Diceros bicornis minor: one gene and its partner. The protein of the gene in region 2 purifies or fractionates together with the protein of the main gene of each other region. This does not show direct contact. Links are inferred from orthologs where the notes say so. Each region holds a gene or a part of one and is shown on either strand. Other genes may lie near its edges.

Region 1 (11,066 bases), on a different chromosome or scaffold from region 2:
GTCTTCTTATCTCTTTAAACTTCTTATGTGATACCAGAAAACAGATGGACGTTCAGGAACCAAGCTTTAATTTTTACTTTGCTCCAAATTTTTGTAAGGCTTGGATGATTCTCTGTCATCAGTTTCAGAGGTATCATAAAAAATAATGACCATCTATAATGTACTCTGAGACCTAAGGATTAAAGGTAGACCTCAAGAGTAAAATACTATTTTAACACTACCATTTTAAGAAATAACAAATGATGGGAAGCATCATTGCTATTATAAACCTATCAGCCAAAAACTAAATCTACTCTTTCTCCAAGTCAGCTACGATTGTATATGCTACCGTCCACTGCATAAAGGGAAGAATCTTCTGACTACTTAATTCCTAACTTTAACCATATATCAAATGATATACCCTATCATTTATCATAGCCAAAATTATAATATCACATGTCAAGACAAAAAATAAAAATTTATTAATCACCAAAGATATTAAACTAAAATGTATCCTCCTCTCCAAATATTTTCCTCTTAAAACAAACTCCAATTTAATTCATCATTACCATATAATTTCCAGCTTCTACTTTTCCCATTACTCTCAAATAGTCTTCTCTTTTGTTGAACAGGTATACCCAATCTTGAGAATAGCTTTATAGATCTGCATTCTGTAAAGTTTAAGTTTCTCTTAACTTCCAAGCATTAAATATATTTAAAACTATGCCCTTTGATCCACCCAGCCTACTTTCAGCATCATTCCTTTTATGACCCATAAGCCTGAAATCATAACACGAGTAGATGGATATTTTTAAAAGGAAGCTCTCAAATTAATCATAGTTGATGATTTTCATGTTTTTCTGCTAAACTTAATCAATTTACTGTTGTCAAAGCTCAGAAGATAGGCAGTAATAGGGCCTAAAGACCTATGAAACATTTGTGAAAACTCATTTACTAACTTATTTTTTTAATTGGGAAATAAGGCTGCCATTACTTGATCTTAAGACAGAACATCCACAACCAGCTCATAGAACACCAGAGTTCTGCTGCAGTGCAGTTTGAGAACGGCTAACTAGACCTACATGTATGTTCCCAGTGGCTTTCCATTGATTTATACATCTTTCTAGTACCTACAGGGTTGGATATGATCTGGCCACTGCCCATCTCCCTCAGGTACCACTTCCCCTCCTAGTTCTCTTCATTTTATAGATGGAGCAACTGAGGCACAGGTTAAGCAACTTGTTCTGTCATATACTGCTAACAAGTGATAGTCAGCATTTGAATCTATGAAGTCTGGATCCATAGTCTGTCCTCTTATTCATCAGGCTATATTTTCTCTCAATATTATTGATAAATATATTACAATTAGAAACATCTTAAAAAGCAACATTAATATATATATTTAGTGCTGGAGCATATATCACAGATTAGTGCAAACTTCTGGTATTAATCTAGCCTGTTTAACACAAAATAAAGAAGCATATTAATAATAGTGGCAGAGATGTATTTCTCTTGTAGCTTGACAACACAGGGATTTAGCAAATAAAGGGAAGTAGACATTCAATGGCCAGAATTACCCACCAAGAAACAGCTGAGCTGGCTGTTCCATTCAAAAAAAAAGAAAAAACAGGGCTTTTTTTTTGGACAACTGTTGTCAAATATTTGTGTGTAAAGCACTAAAATTTGAAAGCGACAAAAGTTTCAAACTGGGTATCAAAATAGATGATATCATGGAAATGTGTGAAACAGTTTTAAAAGATTTAACAGGTACTAACCATGTTTACTTACCAAGTTTCTTCAAATAGTAAAGCTGATAATTTGGGGGAAGAAATGCTTAATTTGATGGTTGAAGACCATAGGCAATAGTGTAAAAGAATCCTGAAGGGAGATAGGAATGCTTCTGCTTTAGGAGGTACAAGTCTCTTTGCAACATACAGGGTAAATAAGGGAATACTGCTGACGGTATGTTACTCACAATAAAGACAGAAAGTAGCTAAGGACAAAAAGAATCCATTTCACAAAGAACCTGCATATTGGTTGATACAGTTTGAACATTATCTCCTTATTTCTGCTAATAATAACACTAACTTTTAAAAAGTCAGTCAGGAAAATCGAAGCCACACACCAGATGTCTATCAATCTTTATATAATTTTCAAAGCACTCTGACTTCTTTTATTTGGCCCTCAATAAGCCCTCAAGTCAGGCAAGTAGCACAGTGAACTTCGGGAATAGCTCTAGAGGTGGGTTCCAGTCCTTGCTCTCCTACTTACTGGCTGTGGTTGCTTGGAACTGTATTCCCACTGAACTTTAGTTTCTAGTTTGTGCCATATACCTCACAGATTTGTGGAGAGTATCAAATGAAACAAAATATATGTAAAAACATTTTGAAAAGTGTAATGTGCTATACAAATATAAGATATTAAAAGGCAAAGGAGGTGTTATTTCCATTTTGTAACAATTTATTAAACAATTATTTTTGCAGTATCTACTATACACTAAGCACTACTGATACAACAATTACAACTCTTACCTAAAGAATTGAAGTATAGAGTGGGAAACAAACTAGGAAGCAAATAATTGCAATATAAGGTACCATGAAACAAGCCCTGTGAAGCAATCAATTAACAGGGAACCAAAGAAAAGACATATTAAATGACTTCCTCAAGGACAGAGGCTTAATAAGTACTAGAACAGGAGCTAAAACCAAGTCTTTTGACATTAAATCCAGAGTGTCTTTAACCCACAAAGCCTCAATGTTACAGTACTACAACATGGTAGGTGTTCTTTGGTAAAGAATATCCATCTGTCAAAACATACTAACTGAACTTCAAGCTAATTTCAAATACCCTGCACTGTCAGTGATTTTGCCAGGGAAACGGTGGCTAGGACTCCTTGCTTAAACCAGTGCATGGTCAGCTCACCATAATGGACACAGGAAGTCTACATTCCTTTCCAAAGGAAAGTGTTTTAAGTGATAGAGAAAACGCTTGTGCTAATTCTAATTCAGCTTTAGCACTTACCAGTTACACTCTCTGAACGCTACCTTTCAGTCAGGAGTGCTACACAAAGTTTTTGATCTATTTCATTGTAGTTGAAAGAGAAAGCACCCATCTCTACAAACATTATTGTGCTTCTTTTTAAGGTCTTTTGACAATCAGTAACTGTCATTTGGCATCAGATGAACTGAGAATAGGCAGTAAAGCTCTATATAAATAATTCTCCGACTGTTGAAAAACACACAGTTACAGATTTCTCCCCTCGAATAACATTCAGTCGGGGGGGGGGGGGGGAAACCCAGACTTCTCTGCTACACCTTTTTTTCCAAGAAACAATGTTTCTTATTTAATGAAAATTAAAGTAGCCTAAATTTGGGGGATAATAAAAGGGACCTCAAGCTAAATACATATTTAAACCTAAAATTCTCTTATCTTATGTTTTTAGTTACGCTTAACTCTAAGACCACAGCGTGTAATTCTACAACTCTATTCTCATCGGGGCTGAAACACGGCAAACCGATACTAAGAGTAATAGACTCTTCAATAGTTATGTTTCAGTTTCAACTCAAAGAGTGACTCATTCTACAGAAATGCACAACTCGAGAGATAAGGTAATATGAGCTTCAATTGTTAAAATTGAAGGGGCGAGGTGTGACACCGCTCTCCGGGGCCGCCCCACCTCAACCATCCTTGCTATAAGCACACTGAAGAAGCTGTACAGCCACCTGGCCCACTTTCCTTCACGAGATCCCTCCGCTTGTACAATGACACCACGGCAACGGGCGAAGACCGCCACGGAGCCGGCGAGGAGGCCCACGCACAGCCGGCGGGTGGCGGCCGAAGTGTCCAGACACTTCCCGCGCAGGGACGGGAAAGGGAAGGAGTGTTAGCCCGGGGCCTACCCTCTCTCGACCACCCCTGTCACCGGACACAACCAAAGTGAGTTCTTGGAGACACCGATCCCGGGGACTAGTCACCTGAGGTATGTGTGTGATTCCCGCACTGGGGTCCCGCGCCACGCTCTTTAATCGGAGAGATCAGACTTGATCCACCCGCAGCGACCGCCGATCCTCAGCGTGCGCTTCTCTCAACCCCACCGCGCATGCGGAACCACCTCGCAGCACGCGTGCGCCGAGAGAACACCGGCCCCTCTTCGTCACTGACCATAGAGTCCAGGTCCTCCGAGAACGAGGAAGAAGGTGGGTCATAAGAGGACCTGAAAAGTACGTTTTCTCGTTGTCTTTAGTTTTCACTAAGTAACCTTCAAGGCGCGGGGAAGAAGCACATTCTGATTCCTTGTCCCTGACGAATGTATCCTCTTTCAAAGTTTCAGTCAACCATGAGGTGGCGCTGTGACCAGACACGAAAAGTGGAGGCAGAGAAGGAGTGTACTCCTCTCTCCTGTTCTTTCGCCCCGCGCGTGCAGAGTCTTGCGCAGCCGCCTGGGAGCTGAAGGGGGAGGGGCTAGAAGGCGAACCGGAATTGAGAGGCGGTTCCGTGGTGCGCGCGCCTCAACATCCGGGCATCGCCTTCCTCCTTCCCCTCCCCTCCTCTCCGCCGCACACCGTGCCGACAGGAAGCGGAAGTGAAGAATGGGTGTCCGGGCTGCCTCTTAGCAACGAGAGGCGGCTCAAGTGACACAGCCAGCTGACTCCGGTAGAGGAAGACGCTGTGGCTGGGGCTGTTGCAGCCACTCTAGCCCGGCCGGGGACCGAGCCGCACGGTCATCGTCAGAATGTCGGGCAAAGACCGAATTGAAATCTTTCCGTCACGAATGTAAGTAAAAGAATGGGACGAGCAGCCCTCACAGGTTCAGGGACGCCTGCCCGGAGCCGCGGTCCCTCCATGCCCTGGACCAGCAGGGTCCCTGTTTCCTGGGCCGACCCTGAGCTCTCCCCAGTCCCTTTTCGTGAGTCCGGGGCGAGGCTTCATGACGGCCCCCTCACACGTTCCTGAGTGAACCAGCCTGGACAGAGCGACCCCGGCCCGTGGGAGCGGGCGCCCGGCCTGCTGGCTTTTGTGGAGGTCCGCTGACTTGACTCTAATCGAGCCGTTCCTTCCACACTCCCTTGTTGAGCCGGGCACTGGATTTATGTAACTATGGATCGTCGCCACTCCTGCCCACAGAGCTCACAGTTCAGCGGAGAGATGGACAATCAACGAGATTTGATAAATGCTCTGAGAAGGGAAGTTTACTGCGGTCGGAAGCGTCTAGGAGAACCTTCTGATTGCGAATTGAATTGAATCGAATCGCCCTAGCGTGCTCGTTAGATTCGATCGTGGATCCCCTTACTCATTTTCCAAGATCTTGTGAAATGTCACCTGCGGCGGGAAGATGTCCCGATTTTCTGAGGGACTCCTTTTGCTCTGTCATCATTGCACCTTGTTCAGACCTCTGAACACGTTGAAAAGTGGTATTTATTTACATATGTTTCCCACTGGACTGTGAGCTCTCGCCAGGATGAGGTCTTGATTATTAATCCATAGAAAGTGCACAAAAAAAGTTCTTTGAACGAATCCGTGCCTTGGAATCTTTCTCTTTTGACCTGAATTCTTTGGCAGGAGAAATAGCATAGCGCCCTAGGTGTTTGGCCAGTTTGTAAAGAAAATTTTGAAGTTTTCTCAAATGTGCCTGACAACGTGTGGAAAGTAAAGAATGTTCCTATTTGCCCTCTCCTCCTCTTCCTCTTCTTTTTTTCAGTGAGGAGCGGAAAATCAGTTTTGGCTCTGACATTTAGATCTTCTGATCGTGGTCCTGTCGCTTTCGGGGTTTCTGTTTGTCTTCATCCTGACCGTTTTCTCAGAGAATCTGAGGGCACTTAAAATAAAAGAGTTATATTCAAACCCCAAACCTAGATTTTTGTCTCTGCCTGGGTGGCTACAGCTGGTAATGAAGTGAAGGGGTTTTTGTTTGTTTCTTTTTTAACTTCACCTACTGATTTTCTAATAGCTGTTTGTACTTGGCGGGACTCCGGTCGGTGTGGGGAGAGGCAATGCCTGTGAAATGGATAAGGAACAGGACTACTCTGGGGCAGTAGGAACTGCAGACCTCCCAGCACTTAATGACTCTGACTCCGTCCAAACCTCTGCACTGCAAGTCCACCACACTCTAGCGTGGCTTCTAGCAGCCTGAGGCTGTGCTCCTAGGATGACCCCAGGCCCCGTTAAAATGCCTGCTGGAGAAAGCTCATGGCTGCCTGGAGAATTTTGTTTGTTCTATCCAACACCTGACAGTAGGTCCCTGACCTCCCATTCTTAAGGCACTTACTAAAAAGGGCTTACCATTATGAATCCTTACTTCTCCCTTTGAGATGTATATATCTCTCCAACTTAGAAGTGTCTTTCTCAAGGACCTGAAAACCATTTCTTTGAGATGTAATCGTCAGGAGGGATACGGCCTCTGTCTCCCAGTCTCTGTGGAGGGATAGAATCCTAACTTCCCTAATTGCCAGCTAGCAGACACAGCTGGCCTAATCACATTTCCACTGACCAACCCTGTGTGATTTTCACTTCTCTGACTCTACCTGAGTCCCCTCTCACCCCCCTCCCTCATTCTTCCTTTAAAACACCAAGTCACCTCTGCACAAATCAGAATGGAGCTCAGCTCTTTGCCCTGCGGTCAGTGGTTATTGAATAAAATCTGTTTTCACTGCTTTAACTGATATCTGGCTGTGTTGATCTTTGATAGTAGTCAGAGTGTTAACATTTTTTTTTTTTACTTTGAGACTGAAAGGTGAAAATAGACTTCTTTGAGCTTAGACAAGAAAATGATAGGTTTGTGAAGGTGAAAATTGCTGTTTGAGAGCACTCTGCTTGCTAATTGCGAGGAAAAGTAGGTGCAGGAAGTAACCGCTTCTCTAAATAATTTTCCTAAGGCTTAGCAGCAGGTACTGTGTCATGTAGTCAGATGTCTTTGATTCAGCTAGAAACAAAGTCATCATCTTAGCTGAAGGTCAAACATTTTTCGTAGAGCTGAGCAGCTCTGAAACTTGTAAAAGAGCAGGTTTCTTAGGAGCTAGGCTAGAAAATACACTAGCAACTGCTGTTTCAGACAGTTCTACCTTGCAGTTTTATCTTGTGAAACGGGCTTTCACCCACTTGGGCACCAGTGAGGGCAAAACAAGTTTGGGGTGGAAGCAACAGAGGCGTGAAGGATTTAGAGTCAACAGAAGTCAGTCAAACCCAGGTTCTATTACATACTGGCTGTAAGCACTTGGGCAGGTCAGTCTTTGAGTCTCAATTAAAATTTGTCTATTTCACAGAGGTACCATTACCTAGGAGGAAATTAAAATTAGCATGGTAAATTCAATTTTATCAACCAGTTCACCTTTTTACCATAAACTTGCTGGAATCTGCAGTACTAGCATTTGACTTAAATTTGATCCACCTCTTTGAGCCCAAATTCTGATGGTTAGTGTCAACAATATGGTATGTTAAATGTACACATTGGGGTGGATAGTTTCTGCTCAGACTGGAAACTGAACCAGCTTCACTTGGTTAGACCTCCAGCGAGGCCAGTCAATGCCAAGTGGCCAATCAGCCACTGATAGCTAGTTTTTTTCCAAAGAATTGTTCACCTGATGCTATAGGCAGTGTGGCACGTGGTTGGGGTACAGTGGACCTAGGTTTGAGCCTTAGTTTGAGTCTTGGGCAGGTCACTGGAGTCAGAAATCTGGTTCAAGTTCCTGCTCTGCCTTTTGACTGAGTGACTGCAGGAAAGTTGTTTCACTTTTCTGAGCCTCATTTTCCTAGCTTTTAGGATAACGTCTAAAGTCCCTTCCAGCTATTGAATTGTCTCAGTAACCTTTGCCGTATAGTAAAAGATTTTGGTATCATCTAAGAATTTAGCCAAAAGGTTCATTAATACATGCTATTTTGCAGTTGGTTGTAACACTAGTCATATGAAATTATATCCCCTTAAACAAATCCCTTTAAGTATCTACGTTATACAATGTATTATTGGATCTTATTACCTACTTTTTTTTTTCCATTATTAAATTTTATCTGGCATATGGTAGCAAGAACAGAAATGTTGATGCCTGCTGTTGCTTTCTTGACTTTGGTATTGGGGTTTCTGATGGGAAAACATTGAGATAAGGAGGTAAAGAGACTTCGGTAGCTTGTCACTTCTCAGGAGTCTTTACATATATATCATCTGTTAACTAGAGTCATTTACAGATTAATAAAATGATTACTATTAGGGTCTTGATTGATGTTATCAAAACACTTTAATGCCACACTTTTAATAGAAAAAGTAATAAATGGTTGTGGCATAAAATCCAAAAGGTACAAAAGAATATAGTACTAAAAAGTAAATCCATTTTTTTCACTCAGCCCCATTTCCCAAAGGAAACTGTTAGCAGTTTTTGTGAATCCTTTCTAGAACTATTCTCTGTATCTATATAAGCACATTTATCCCTTACTTTGCATAACCAAGACCATACAATATAGGAAGCACATGTAGATCTACCTTCCTCTTTTTTTTATGGCTGCATATCATTCCATTGTATTATGAACCATGATTAATGGAACATTGAACTTGTTTCCACCCTTTTGCTATTACAAATAAGGCTAGAGTACTCATACTTAATCTTGTGCATGTTTTTGTATACATGGGGAAGTAAATCTGTAGGATTAATTCTTAAAGTGGAATTGTTGATCCTGAAGGTAAGTGCATTTCAAATTTTGATACATATTAGTGGACAGGTTTTTTTTTTTTAATCTTTAATATACCTTTAATGGAAACTGAAACACAGATACTGTTTGGACTTACAAATCAAATAAGTATTTAAACTATGCTGGCATAATAAAATAGGGCTCCTGGTAAATTTTATTATGATTTAATAAATACTTATTCCAGATATTGATTAAAGAATTGTTTTGTTTTAAATAAATAAACTTCTCATTTATGGAACACTGGAGATGGAAATCTACAGTATTGAGAAACCAATTAAACCTGTCAGCTACAAATGCTGTATATTCTCACTCTGGTGATATCAAAGAATAAAGCATAATTTTAATACCCTTGGTGAGTTATTTTTATTTTTTTAAACGTTGGGAATAAATGTCTTCAACTCTGTTTATATAGGGCACAGACCATCATGAAGGCTCGGTTAAAAGGAGCACAGACAGGTCGAAACCTCCTGAAGAAAAAATCTGATGCCTTAACTCTTCGATTTCGACAGATCCTAAAGAAGATAATAGAGGTAGAAGGAACTTTGCTTAGAACAGTATTTAGTTTAGAAATATCTAAGGAAAGTCCAGCATGGCCCTTGGCATTTTAATTTTTCTTTAAGTTATTTTAATTAAACTTTTTTTCTTTCAAAGGTAAAAATACTATTATAAGTGTAACAAGTTTCAGCTAGTTCATTTAGTAAAATGCAAACTCCTTGCTTTTACCCGCAAAGCCCCACTTGATCTGATCTGGCCCCTGCCTGCCTCACTGACCTCATTTGGAACATTCTTCCTAACAACTTCCTCCAGGACCTTTGCATTAGCTATTTCTTCTGCCTGGAATGCTCTTTCCCCAGAACTTCTTATGGCTGGCTTGTCTGGCCATTCTGGTCTCTTCAGAGAGGCCATTACTGATCACCAAATCTGAAGTGACCACCATAGTTACTTCTTTCACATCTACTTGTTTTATTTTTATCACAGTATGTTCTCCTGGATGATATTTTCTTGTTTGATTGTTTACTTCCACTAGAGAATGTAAATTCCGTGAGAGCAAGCTCTTTGTCTTTTCAACACTGTATTTCCTGTGCCTGGAACAGTGCTGGCACATAGTACGTTTTAATTGAATGCTTTTTGGATAAATGATCAGTGAATAGAGAAGTATATAAAAAAAGTGAAGGTTCTTTCCCATGTCCCCCTCCCCACTGCCCCAACTGTCCTTTCATTTCCCAGAGGAGTTCTTTGTGACACTTTGGTTTATAACCTTTCAGTCCTTCCTTCCTCCCTCCCTCCCTCCCGGCTGTATATGGCCACACACATGGATGTTTTCAGTAACAAACATGAAACTATTTTATATATATATATATATATATATATATACACACACACACACACACACACACAATTCTGTAACATTTCTGCCCCTCTCCGCCTTCCCCCGACCCTTATAGCAAACCGTGGACAGCTTTCTATGTCAATACGTATAGATCTGCCTCGTGCTTTGTAATAGCTGCATGGTACTCCATCACATGGAGAATGGAATTTAACCCTTTCTGTATTGATGAATGTATAATTGTACCATTTCGGTGGGGGAGGGTACTCTTAAATACGTATATATGTATGCTAGTATTTCTCTGGAAAAGAATCTTAGAATCTTGAGGATATGTTCATTTAAATTTTTAATAGCTAACTGCCAAGTTGCCCTCTAAATTGTTATACTAATTTACGTTCCTACCAAATGATTAATGAGAGAACCTGTTTTCTTAAATTCTTCCTAACTGGATATTAATCTTTTTTTATTCGTTGCTAATCTGGTGGGCTAAAATTGCTATCTTATTTTAATTTACATTACTTTTGGTTATTTATGAGGTTGAGCATCTTCTCATGTTTACTGGTAATTTGATTTTCTTGGGGAATTTCTTCTCTTATTTTTTGGTAGAAGTTCTATATCTATACATTCTTTTTTTTTTTTTTTATAATTTTATTTATTTTTTTCCCCCAAAGCCCCAGTAGATAGTTGTATGTCATAGCTGCACATCCTTCTAGTTGCTGTATGTGGGACGCGGCCTCAGCATGGCCAGAGAAGCGGTGCGTGGGTGGGCGCCCGGGATCCGAACCCGGGGCCGCCAGCAGCGGAGCGTGCGCACTTAACCGCTAAGCCACGGGGCCGGCCCTGTGCATTCTAATTAGTGTGTAAAATGCTAAAAATATTTTCTCTAGTATTTTTCTTATCTTTTAACTTATAAAAAATGATATCTTAATATTTGGTCACATCTGTTAGTCTTTTCCTTTATATGGCTTTTGGGTTACATATGATGCTTAGAAAGTAGAAAATATTCTACTATATATTATATTGTTATTTTATGATTTTTTTTGAAAAAATACCTTTATCTGTAATATTTCTGGACTTTTTTCTTTTT
Region 2 (10,501 bases):
CCAATGCCTGCCCCCATGGCCTAGTGCCTTAGTGTCCATGGGCGATGGAGAGACTCACGGTGAAGGTGAAGCGCCGCCCTCGGGGGGCTCCTGCCCCATCTGGCCTGATACTGTAGCTGGGGAGTAGGACGCTGCCCAGGACGCTCTCCTCGCGGCTGTCTGCAAAAGAGGGGCTGGGGTCAGGGATCACACAGGGATCTGGAGGCTGAGAACCTAGAGGACAGGGATGGTGGGAGGGGGGCCCGCCTACCCCATGCCAGCTGGGCACTGACCCTTGTAATAGAAGAGGCAATGACCAGAGAGGACGAACCAGCGGCGTTTCCAGAGCCGGAGCCCGGAGCTGTCCTGGGGAGAGAGATTGGGAGGAGAGGCCTGAGTACAGCGGAGAGGAAAAAAGGAGAAGGAGACAGTGACACTTGGGGACAGAGACCCAAAGAGAGGAAAGTAGCAGAGACGCATGTTTGACGCAATAGATTCAGATGGAGAACTGGAAGCCAGAGCGTTGTGGTTGAAAGGCCATCGATTCTGGATACAGCCCAACCTGAGTGTGTCTTCTAGCCCCACCACTATGCCCTTAAACAAGTCATTTCTCCACTAGGACCTTCATCTGTCACTTGGGGACTGAGAAGTTACAGGAAGGTTGGAACGAGATACTGTACCACATGTGGGTAGCGGCTTTATATTCCAGACTTGGTCCGATTATTCTGGAGCCTGAGACAGAGAGGCCGTAACCCCAATCCTGTCTTCCCATCATCTCTGCTTGAACTGCTCCACCATCTCTAACCCTATGCCCCTCTTCTCCTCTTCAATCCGTTCCCACAGAACCCAGCATGATCTTTTAAAATTATGGCAGATCATGTGAGTTCCCTGCTCAAAACAAAGTTTATCATCACGCTTAGAATAAATCTCAAATTCCTTACCCTAGTTTACTGGCTTGCTGAGAATCTCAAATTTGGGCATGCATGAAAATTACCAGGAGGCATTGTTAAAACACAGGTTCCTGGGACCCGTCCCCAGAGCTCCTGTGCCAGTAGATCCAGGGTGGGACCTGACAATGTGCATTTCCAGCATGTTCCCAGGTGACACTGATGCTGCTGGTCCAGGACACGTTGAGAATGGCTGCCCTGCCAAACCTCTCTCCCCCCTTGGCTCACTCCAAACACCAAGCTTTGACCTGCTGCAGGGTCTTTCGCTCTCGGATTCCCTCTGCCCCCCAGATCTTAGCATGAAGGGGTCCTTCTTGTCCTTTAGTTCTCAGCTCAAATGTCATCTCAGAGAAGCCTTCCCTGACCAACAGTCAAACGCAGCTCTCATCCCTCAGCCACTTTTGAGCACATCCCCGTGTTATTTCTTCGCAGCAGTTCCTACAATCTGAAACCATCGAGTCCATTTATTTATATGTATGAATTCATTATCCATCCCTGCCCCACCCCCATCTTGAATGTACAGTACTATAGACACTTGTTTGTCTTATTTGCATAAGTGCCCCAGGGCTTGGTACCTTGTAAATATTCAAGAAGTCGTCACTGAATGAATGAGTGGATGAATGAAACAATGGCAGAATAAGAGAAGTAGTGATAGGAAAAAAAGAAACATATTTGGAGACTTGGAAGGAGAGAAACAGCAGACAGCCAGGGGCACAGCCTCTAGCGGGGGTGTCCTTTCCCTTTTCCTGCTCACCCCACCTGCTTATGAAGCCAGCCTCGGATGTGCACGGGGAGGTTGGGATCCCTTCTGAGCGCATTGCCCCTCTTCCCGAAGGCGTGGACCTTGCTTACTGCCCGGGTGGGCTTCTGAGGAGAGAAGGAGAACAGAAGTGAACAAGGCCTCGGGATGGGCTTGGGGAGGTGGTGCAGCGGGACGCAGGCAACCTGAGGCCCTCACTTGGCTGCCTTTAGAAACCAGGTCAAGGAGGGAGCTGAGTTTCGAGATCGGAATTGCGTGTGCGTCGTGCAGAGTTGAGAGACACTCTGGATGGGCAGACGGAGGTGTTCGGAGGCAAGGAAGAGGCTACTGGCTGATGGGGAAGGCATTTGGGAATCAAGAGTCCACTGCCAAGGAAAGGATGCCCTTGGCCACCAGAGTCAGGGATGTAGGACAGCCTGTGGGATCCGAACTGGAAATATTGCCTGGGAGGGCCTCATCATCAGGAGGGTCCTCCATGCTGAGTCCCTGGAAATGGGTCGGCCAGAATCGAAGGACACCTCAGTGCCGGGTAGTGACATCCCTTAGCAACCATGTCCACGGTAGAGAGATGGCTCCAAACCTCTCCCAACAGATGGAGCCCCCTCTCCTGTGCACACAAGCATTTCAGGCATCCACAGCCAGATTCCCACAGGATGCCCTTCCTTGGGGATGGTACTGACCAAGATCAGGATCAAATCTGTGGATTCTGAACTCGGGAAAATGGACATGAGTGAAGAGAATGACAGAAGGAGAAGAAAATAAGTGTCATCACTGAACTTTGGGCTGGGGTGAAGATTTAGGATGCAACTATCTCAGGCCTCACGGGGTCTTATTGTCAGAGAAAGGTCTTTCCTTATCGGATTTCAGAGCTGGTTAGATGGGATGGCTAGAGACAGGCCAGGGAGTTCTCAGTCCTAATCAAGAGTAGCCACCACATCTGAGTTACTGGGGGGAGGCGGGGCTCATGTCTGGGGAGTGGCCCTATCTCAGCAACCAGAGTCAAGCCGAGTTATTACTCTGGCTTCAAATTAGGAAAATAGGAGGGGTGGGGACAGTTGGGAGTGGCTCTGAATTCCTAGCTACAACTGGTGGGCAATTTGGGACCTTACTAGGTCTGGGAGACCTCGTTGCTAAGGATCCTTGCTCTTAACAACCAGAGTCCCTAGGGTGGCGCTGAACCCAGGCCTAGGAAACAGGAGGATGGGGCAGCCCAGAGCCCCGCCCCCCCCACTAGCCCCCCAGCTCCACCAAGAAGCTCGAACCTTGGTGCTCAGGCTGCCCAGCGAGGAGATGGTAGAGGCGCTGCTGGCTAGGCTGAGGCTGCTCCGAGGTCTGCCCTCCTCCATCGAGGGCTTGGGGAGAGAAAGAAAGGGACTGTGTGCATATCTCTGCAGCTGACCCGGCTGGGGACAGAGACGGGGTCAGGGGCTCGCAGGTCGGAGGAGGAGGCTGAGGAGAAAGAGCCTGTTGTTCGGGGCCTGGGGGGTTGGAGGAGGCCCTGGCCCAGACCGCATACCAAGAGCGATGCCAAGAGAGGTGGGCGGCACTGGCAGCTGCGGGGAGGGGGCAGCTGTCTGCAGCCCAAGACAGAGAATAGGGGGTCCTTTATTCTCGCCCTCTGCCCTCTGGCCAGGAATTTGACCCTCTCTGTGCTGAGGGACCCCCCCATGCCCTGCCTCTTTCCGGCTGCCCCCGGCTACCTGTCTCCTGCCCTCCCACATGCACCCCTAAACCACCCCTGCCAAGCCCTGGGGCACCACCCAGGAATGCAAACCCAGGCAGCCCCTCCCAGCCCAGCCAGGAAACTTACCAGCTCTGAGGTCCCAACAACAGGGAGCAAGAGGGCTGTGTGGGTGCTGGGACCACAGTCTCCCTCCTTCTCCGTCTGTTAGGTGCTGCCTCTCATAGACCTCAGTCTTGCTTCTCACCTGCTCCCTCACACTCTTTTTGTCTCTTGTCTCTTATAGTCTCTCTTTCTCTCACACTCTCCCTTTCTTTTCGGCTGTCTCTGTCTCCAATCTCACCTTTTGTCTCTCTAATCTCTGTCTCTTCTAGTCTCTCTGTCACTCATTCTCTCCCTCGCCCCCCGTATCACTTTCTCTTCCAATCTTTCTGTTTCTGTCCAAATCTTTTTCCCCCGAACTCAGAGAGTCTCTTCCTTAAGTCTCCATCTCGTTCTCCCTCTCCCTCCCCCTCACAATCTCTTCCTCTTTCTTTCTCTTTCTTGCCCTCCAGGTCTTCTGTCTCCTCCTCTCTCCCAGATTCTCCTTCTCACTTTCTCTCTTCCTCCCTCTCCCAGTTTCTCTTTCCTCTCTGCTGGTTTGCCAGCCGCCCACGCTGCTGTCTCCCCTCCCAATCCCGGCTGACCCCGCCCCTCCTGGCCTCCCCACCACAGCCTGACCCCCTGGCTCAGCTACCCCCACAGCTGAGGGGAGGGGCTGGGGCCCCCCTGACTCTTGGGTCCCTGCTGCGGTGGGGGCCTGGAAAGCCGGGGTCCCATAAGGGCTGAGACTGGGATTCCTAAATGTTTGGAGAGTAGGAGGTGGGCGTGGACTCCAGGGCCCCGGTGGGCTGGTTGTCATCAGGGGCATGGGTCATTGGCCCCCTGAATGGAGGTAGCTTGGATCTTGGAAGGGGTGGGAGCTCAGATTTCTGGGTACCTGAGCAGGTGTGAGCCAGGAAGCAGGACTCCTGAGTTGTGAATGGAGCCGGGGGTCTGGAAGCGTGGCTTTGAGTGGAAGGGTCCCAGTCCTGCAGGGAGGAGGGAGTGGCCCTGGATCCTGGATTCTGGCTAGAGCAGGGTCAAGTAGCCAGGGTCAGATGTCCACCTCAGATCCAGGTGAGAATTCTGTTCTAGACTGAGGATGACCCCCTTAGGAGGGAAGCATGGTTCAGGGCGTATTTTGAGAAGAATTGTGGACCCGGAAGGGGGGATGGTGCGGCAAGGGCCGGGAATTGGGGCTGTGTCTCTGGGCCTGGAACTTGTGGCAGACCTCCCATGAGGTTCATTGATGCTACCCAGCAAGAATTTGAGTTTGTGTAAAAACAAGGCTTTCGTATGAGTTTGAAGCAGGTGAAATTGAGGAGTGGAATCTTGTGCCTGAGGCCAGGAAGGGGTCTGAGCTTTTGGTTTAGTATCCACTCACTACATATTTGCTGAGCACCTACTGTGTGCCAGGCACTGAGAAGAAAGCACGGAGCAAAGCCAAGTGCTGCCCTCAGAGTGCTGACATTCTTGTTCTCATTTGCAATGAATCTAGACTCTACTGTGACCACCTTGGGCAAGTAACCTCATTCCCAAGACTCACTTTCCTGATCTGCGAAATGGAAACAATAATACTATCCCACACCGGGGAGGACGTGAAGGTGGGAGAGTCTAGACTGGGACCTGCTGGTTAAATTGGGGAGGGAAGGCGTTTGCCTGGAACAGGAGTTTAGAGACGTCCCTCTCTGCTAAAGCCATTCACGCGTTTGATTGACAGCTCGCCTGCTTCCGGGCGTGGCTACGCTCCGAAACTCCGCCGTGACGTCACAAAGCTCGGACTTTCCGCGAGAATTCCAACCCTATTTTCCCTTCCCCCACGTCTTCGTTTCGAAACCCCGCCTCTCCTAGTGACGTCATCACGTCCGGCCGCGTTAGACTATAAAAGTCTCGCGGGCGGCGTCAGAGCTGATTAGCTCCCAGCTGTTGACTGCATGTATTTTCTGGCACGACTCCGCGTCCGTTTGTCGCGACAGCGCTTGGTGTCTTGAGTGACTTGAGTCACCGAACCCGACGCCGGAGGGCGAAATGAACGCACTGGCCTCCCGAGCCGTCCGGACCTGCGATCGCTTGTGGAAGACCGAGCCCGCGCTCCTGCCCCCGGGGTGACGCACAGCCCCGAGCCGGTGAGTGAGGGGTCGGAACGCCTGGGTCCCGAGGGGCTGGGGGCTGGGGATCAGACTCCTGGTCGGTAATGAGGAGGGAGCTTGGGCTTCTGGGTACCGAGACAGGCGGGTTCGGGGGCCGGGACTCCTGGGTCCTGAGGAAGGAGGGCCTGGGAGCTAGAACTCTTGTGTCCGGGGAGGCTTGGGGGACAGGGACGGACTCCAGGGCTCGGACTTAGGAAGAAGAAGGGATTGGGACCCTGGAGTGCTGAGCCTAACGGAGGAGGGGTCTAGGGGCCAGACTCTTGGGTCTCCAATGAAGGAACCATATGGGAGTCGGAATTTTTGAGTCTCCGAGGGAGGAGGGTGATGAGGGCCCGACTTGTCGATCCTCAGGAGGATGAGAGAACCGGGGACTAGGACTTTGTCCCCACGGGAAGCAAGCAGAGGACCTGCGTTCTCAGTTCTTGGGACCGGGACTTCTGGGTCTGAGGGAAGATGGGGCTGGGGGCTTGGCCTCTTGGGTCTAAGGAAGGAGAGACCTGGGGACCTAGACTCCTGGGTATTGAGGGGAGAGGTGAGAACCACGGGAGAGAGATGGGGAGTGGCTGGGATTAGAAAGGAATGTGGGCGGGGACTCTGCGTTGCTATTTGTGTTACTACTTCTGTTGCTGTGACTCACGGTCATTCCCTGATGCTATCCCCTAAATGGCTTTTAAACTTTATTCCCTTTTTTCCTCCCTTTTTCCCAGCCCAGACAGATGGCCCCAGGCCAAGTGCCGCATCAGTCCGCCCCCTGGAAGGATGCCCACCCCTTCCTCCTCCTCTCCCCGCTGATGGGCCTCCTCAGCCGGGCCTGGAGCCACCTGAGGGGCCCAGGATCTCCAGAGCCCTGGCTGGTGGAAGCAGTAACGAGTGCAGATCAGGAAGAAGCTGGCTTGGAGGGAGAAACTAAGGCTTCTCTGGCCACCCACCATGCCCCCGGGGGCAGGTACCCTCAAGAGGAGGATGGAGAAGCATCATGGGGGACCTGCCCTGACCTGAAAGCCAACAGTTCTCTTCTTGAAGCCTGGGGACTCTCAGATGATGCTGATGAAGAGTATGGTGAGGAGGAAGCCACCAGTGTCCCTAGAGAGCAGGGAAGTGAATTTATAGATGGCCAGCCTGTTCCCCTGTGCCCCAGCCTTCTGATAAGAACCCTGCAAGACCCTCCTAGGGAGGAGGAATCTGAGGAAGGAGGAGTTGCTGAAGATAAAGAAGCCATCACGTTCTCTTTTCCTCTGTCACACTGGGAGTGTTGTCCAGGGGTGGAGGAGGAGAAGGATGGAGAAGCTGTAAACAAAGAAAGTCCCAGAACATCTACTTCCTCCTCATCTCCGGGATCCAAACCCACAGCTTGGGTAGATTGCTCAGGGGAGGAAGAGGATCGAGCAACCAAGGAAGAAGAAAGAACAATTAAAGAAGCCACGAAGACCTCCATTTCCCCCTCAACTGCAGGCTCCCACCCCAGGGCCTGGGAGTGTTGTTCAGGAGAGGAGTCTGAGGAGGAGAAGGACAAAAAGGCTGAGAACGGAGAAGCTGACCCAGAGCCACACTCCTCAATTCGAGCCCAGAGGCCCCTGCTCAGGCCCTGGCAGTGTCAACCCACTAAGATCACAGAGGAAGACGATGAAGAGCAAGATGAATTCAGTGATTCAGGAGCAGCTGAGGGTCCCTCTTCCATCCCCCCCACAAGTGCCTTCCTGAGGGCCTGGGTGTATCAGCCAGGAGAGGACACAGAGGAGGAGGCAGATGAATTCAGTGATTCAGGAGCAGCTGAGGAACAGGGAGCAGCTGAGGGTCCCTCTTCCATCCCCCCCACAAGTGCCTTCCTCAGGGCCTGGGTGTATCGGCCAGGAGAGGACACAGAGGAGGAAGATGAGGAAGAGAATGAGGATGACGATGATTCAGAAGCAGCTGTCTCAGGGCCAAGTCCCTCCCTTCAGGCCCAGAGCGCCCTCCTCAGGGGCCGGATATATCAACCTGGAAAGGAGACAGAGGGAGGGGACGCTGCTGAGGAGTGGGGAGAAGCTGGGCCCTGCCCCTTCCGAGTGGCCATCTATGTACCTGGAGAGAAGCCGCCACCTCCCTGGGCTCCTCCTCAGCTGCCCCTCCGACTGCAAAGGCGGCTCAAGTCTGCAGAAACTCCCACCCGGGAAATGGACCCCGAGACTCCCCTAAAGGCCAGAAAGGTGTGTGCTGAGGGGTCAGATTCTTGGGTCTTAGGAAGGAGGGGGCTGGGAGCTGGAACTCCTGGGTCTGGGTGCGGAGGGCTGGAGGCCCCAACTCCTGAGTGCCCCGTGTGTTGCAGAGGGTTGCATGTCAATTCTGTTGGGAGAGCTGTGTTCACTGTAATGCAATCCTTTGCAAGAGGCTGGGCCCCTGTGGGAGGAGGGAGCAGCTGTGGCTCACGTCACCCTCAGGGAACCCACATCCACCCTTAGTGAGTCAGATGAGAATCTGGTGGCAGGCAGGTGACTGGCGAGATAGCAAGCATTTTTGTGTGATTAATTTTTGTTTGGTTCTCTCTCTCTCCTCCCCTCCCACCTGTGGCCACATGTATCTTGTGTCTCTATCCTTGTCTCCTGGTGGCTGTGCCGGTCCGTCTCCAGGTGCGGTTCTCTGAGAAAGTCACTATCCATTTCCTGGCTGTCTGGGCAGGACCAGCCCAGGCCGCCCGCCGGGGCCCCTGGGAGCAGCTGGCCCGGGATCGAAGCCGCTTCGCCCACCGCATCGCCCGGGCCCAAGAGGAGCTGGGCCCCTGCCTCACCCCTGCCGCCCGGGCCAGAGCCTGGGCACGCCTTGGGAACTCTCCCCCTTCTCTGACCACCATACCTGCCCCTACCCATGCCTTGCAGATATCCTCCGTCCAGGCCACGCCCTTGAGCCATGCTGTGGCCTTCCCCTCCCCTTCTTATGTGTCTGTATCTCCTTGCCTGGACCTCAGTGGGAGGCGTGGCTAAGATCATGTGGTTTACCTGTTATTAACTATTTATTTTTTTTAAGTGTTGGTTTATATAAGGAATAAAGCCTTTTGATTTGTAGTGAGCAATGTCACCGTGTGTTTCTGAACTGACAATATCTACTGCTTGTGGGTCCCGGAAGTAGTTGGGGGGAATAGCATAAAGGCAGTGCCTCAGGGCCGGCCCCATGGCTTAGCAGTAAGTGCACACACTCCGCTACTGGTGGCCTGGGTTCGGATCCCGGGCGCGCACCGACGCACTGCTTCTCCGGCCATGCTGAGGCCGCGTCCCACATACAGCAACTAGAAGGATGTGTAGCTATGACATACAACTATCTACTGGCGCTTTGGGGGAAAAAGAAATAAATAAAAATTTAGAAGGCAGTGCCTCAAAGGTAGGATAAACTACATTTCCCATCATCCCTCGAATTTGTCTCTTCTCGTCCTGAAGCTTTTGAACTAAGGTCTGGTGGGTTTTTTAGTTTTTCTTTGGCTTCCACCTAAATTTTATTAAACTTGGGACAATTATCTTCCCAAAGGGGCTGAGAGCTAGACTCATTGATCCCTAACAAAGGGTTAACCCCCAGTTTTCTGTGCCTCCCTGGAATATAAAGACTCATCCTCCTACTGGCCTTGACATGGTGAGTTTCTCAAGGTTTTCAGCTGCCTGATTTCACATTTATAAGCCCTGTGTCCACAGACTCCATTTTCTTATCTGTAAAGTGTGGCTAACAATTGCATGTACCCTATGGGATGGTAAGGCCCCAACGGAGTTCACATTTAAAACAATGCTTGTCAAATAACATGTTCTGTAAGCATTAGCTAGTGTTGGAATTATTCTCTCTCACCCGTGCGTGTCTTCAATTACCCATCCAAGTTTACGCCTCCAGCTTAGAACTCTTCTCTGAGCTCATAAGATCTGTCCAGCAGTTCAAACAAGAGGGGCCCAAATGTCCTGCGCCGTGCCCAGCCTCATCCCCTGCCCCCTCCGTGGGTTCCCCAGTCTCCGCCTACACTATCCTCCTTTCATTTTCCCAAACAGACCAAGCCCCCTTCCACCTTAAGACCTTGGTATGAGCTGTGCCTACTGCCTCATGTTGCCATCCCTCACCCCTCTGGCTCAGCTAGTTCCTGGTGATTCTTCAGATGTATGAAAATCCCTTCTTTAGAGATGCCTTGCTCTGACCCAGCCGACTTGTGCCTCCACGTGCTTTTCTCCTTCACAGCAGATGAGCATTTTGATTTTTTGTTGTTGAAGACCCATCTGCCACAACCCACTCTCAGTCCCACAAGAGCAGATACTGCTGAACAGCCTCATCCCTAGAGCACAGGACTGGGCACCCAGGGGGCGTTCTAACAAGTGTTGGTCACTAGTAAGGTGGTGCAACAGGCGGCGCGCTGGGGCCCCTTCTCCAAAGCAGCAGGCACAGAAGCTGATGAAAGTATGATACTTCATTGGATTACTCACATGCCAGCTTCCCATCGAAACTGGACAAACAGATGGCGAAGGCTTGGAGCGGGCAAAGGGGGAAGCGGAAGTCCATGGTGAACGTGTCTGGGTCCACGCGGCCAAACTGGAGCACCAGGTAGTTCGCTGCGGAGGAAGTCAGGAACTAAGCCTCGCGTGATTCCTGCTGTCTCGGCCGCGGGCCTCTGAGCCGCTAGAACTACGACTCCCAAGAAGCTGTGCGGCGCCCTTACTAAGCCCGGAAACCCGCTGAGGGCCGTTGTAAACTACAGTTCCCAAAAGGCTTCGCAACAGCGTGGAGTCGGCCCTGCCTAGGAAAACGCTCAAGTGCTGATGGGAGAGGTAGTTCTCGTCCCCGTTCACGCCCCCGGCCCCGTTCACGACCCCATCCCCCGGTAAACCGGTTCCAAGGAGCTCACGGTCATCCGGATGCACGATCTGGAAGTTTTTGACCGAGGCCCGAGTGACTCGACCATGAA

Evidence for each region.
Region 1: the proteins of PPP1R15A (region 2) and EIF2S1 purify together in Homo sapiens (affinity purification with western blotting; 4 studies listed by BioGRID and IntAct, with this or other methods). This does not show direct contact. The link is inferred for Diceros bicornis minor from reciprocal best matches to the Homo sapiens genes PPP1R15A and EIF2S1.

What each region holds. Positions count from the first base shown.
Region 1 is NC_080763.1:16,053,536-16,064,601, reverse strand, and holds the start of EIF2S1 (eukaryotic translation initiation factor 2 subunit 1), read right to left. Parts: upstream 4,104-11,066; 5' UTR 3,954-4,103; intron 1-3,953. Other genes in the region: ATP6V1D (V-type proton ATPase subunit D), read left to right, coding at 4,712-4,752, 9,065-9,182. UniProt on the Homo sapiens protein: Member of the eIF2 complex that functions in the early steps of protein synthesis by forming a ternary complex with GTP and initiator tRNA. This complex binds to a 40S ribosomal subunit, followed by mRNA binding to form a 43S pre-initiation complex (43S PIC).
Region 2 is NC_080773.1:24,459,381-24,469,881, forward strand, and holds PPP1R15A (protein phosphatase 1 regulatory subunit 15A), read left to right. Parts: upstream 1-5,161; 5' UTR 5,162-5,574; intron 5,575-6,305; 5' UTR 6,306-6,314; coding exon 6,315-7,784; intron 7,785-8,204; coding exon 8,205-8,555; 3' UTR 8,556-8,636; downstream 8,637-10,501. Other genes in the region: PLEKHA4 (pleckstrin homology domain-containing family A member 4), read right to left, coding at 59-159, 273-345, 1,686-1,793, 2,949-3,032; TULP2 (tubby-related protein 2), read right to left, coding at 10,015-10,148, 10,442-10,501. UniProt on the Homo sapiens protein: Recruits the serine/threonine-protein phosphatase PPP1CA to prevents excessive phosphorylation of the translation initiation factor eIF-2A/EIF2S1, thereby reversing the shut-off of protein synthesis initiated by stress-inducible kinases and facilitating recovery of cells from stress.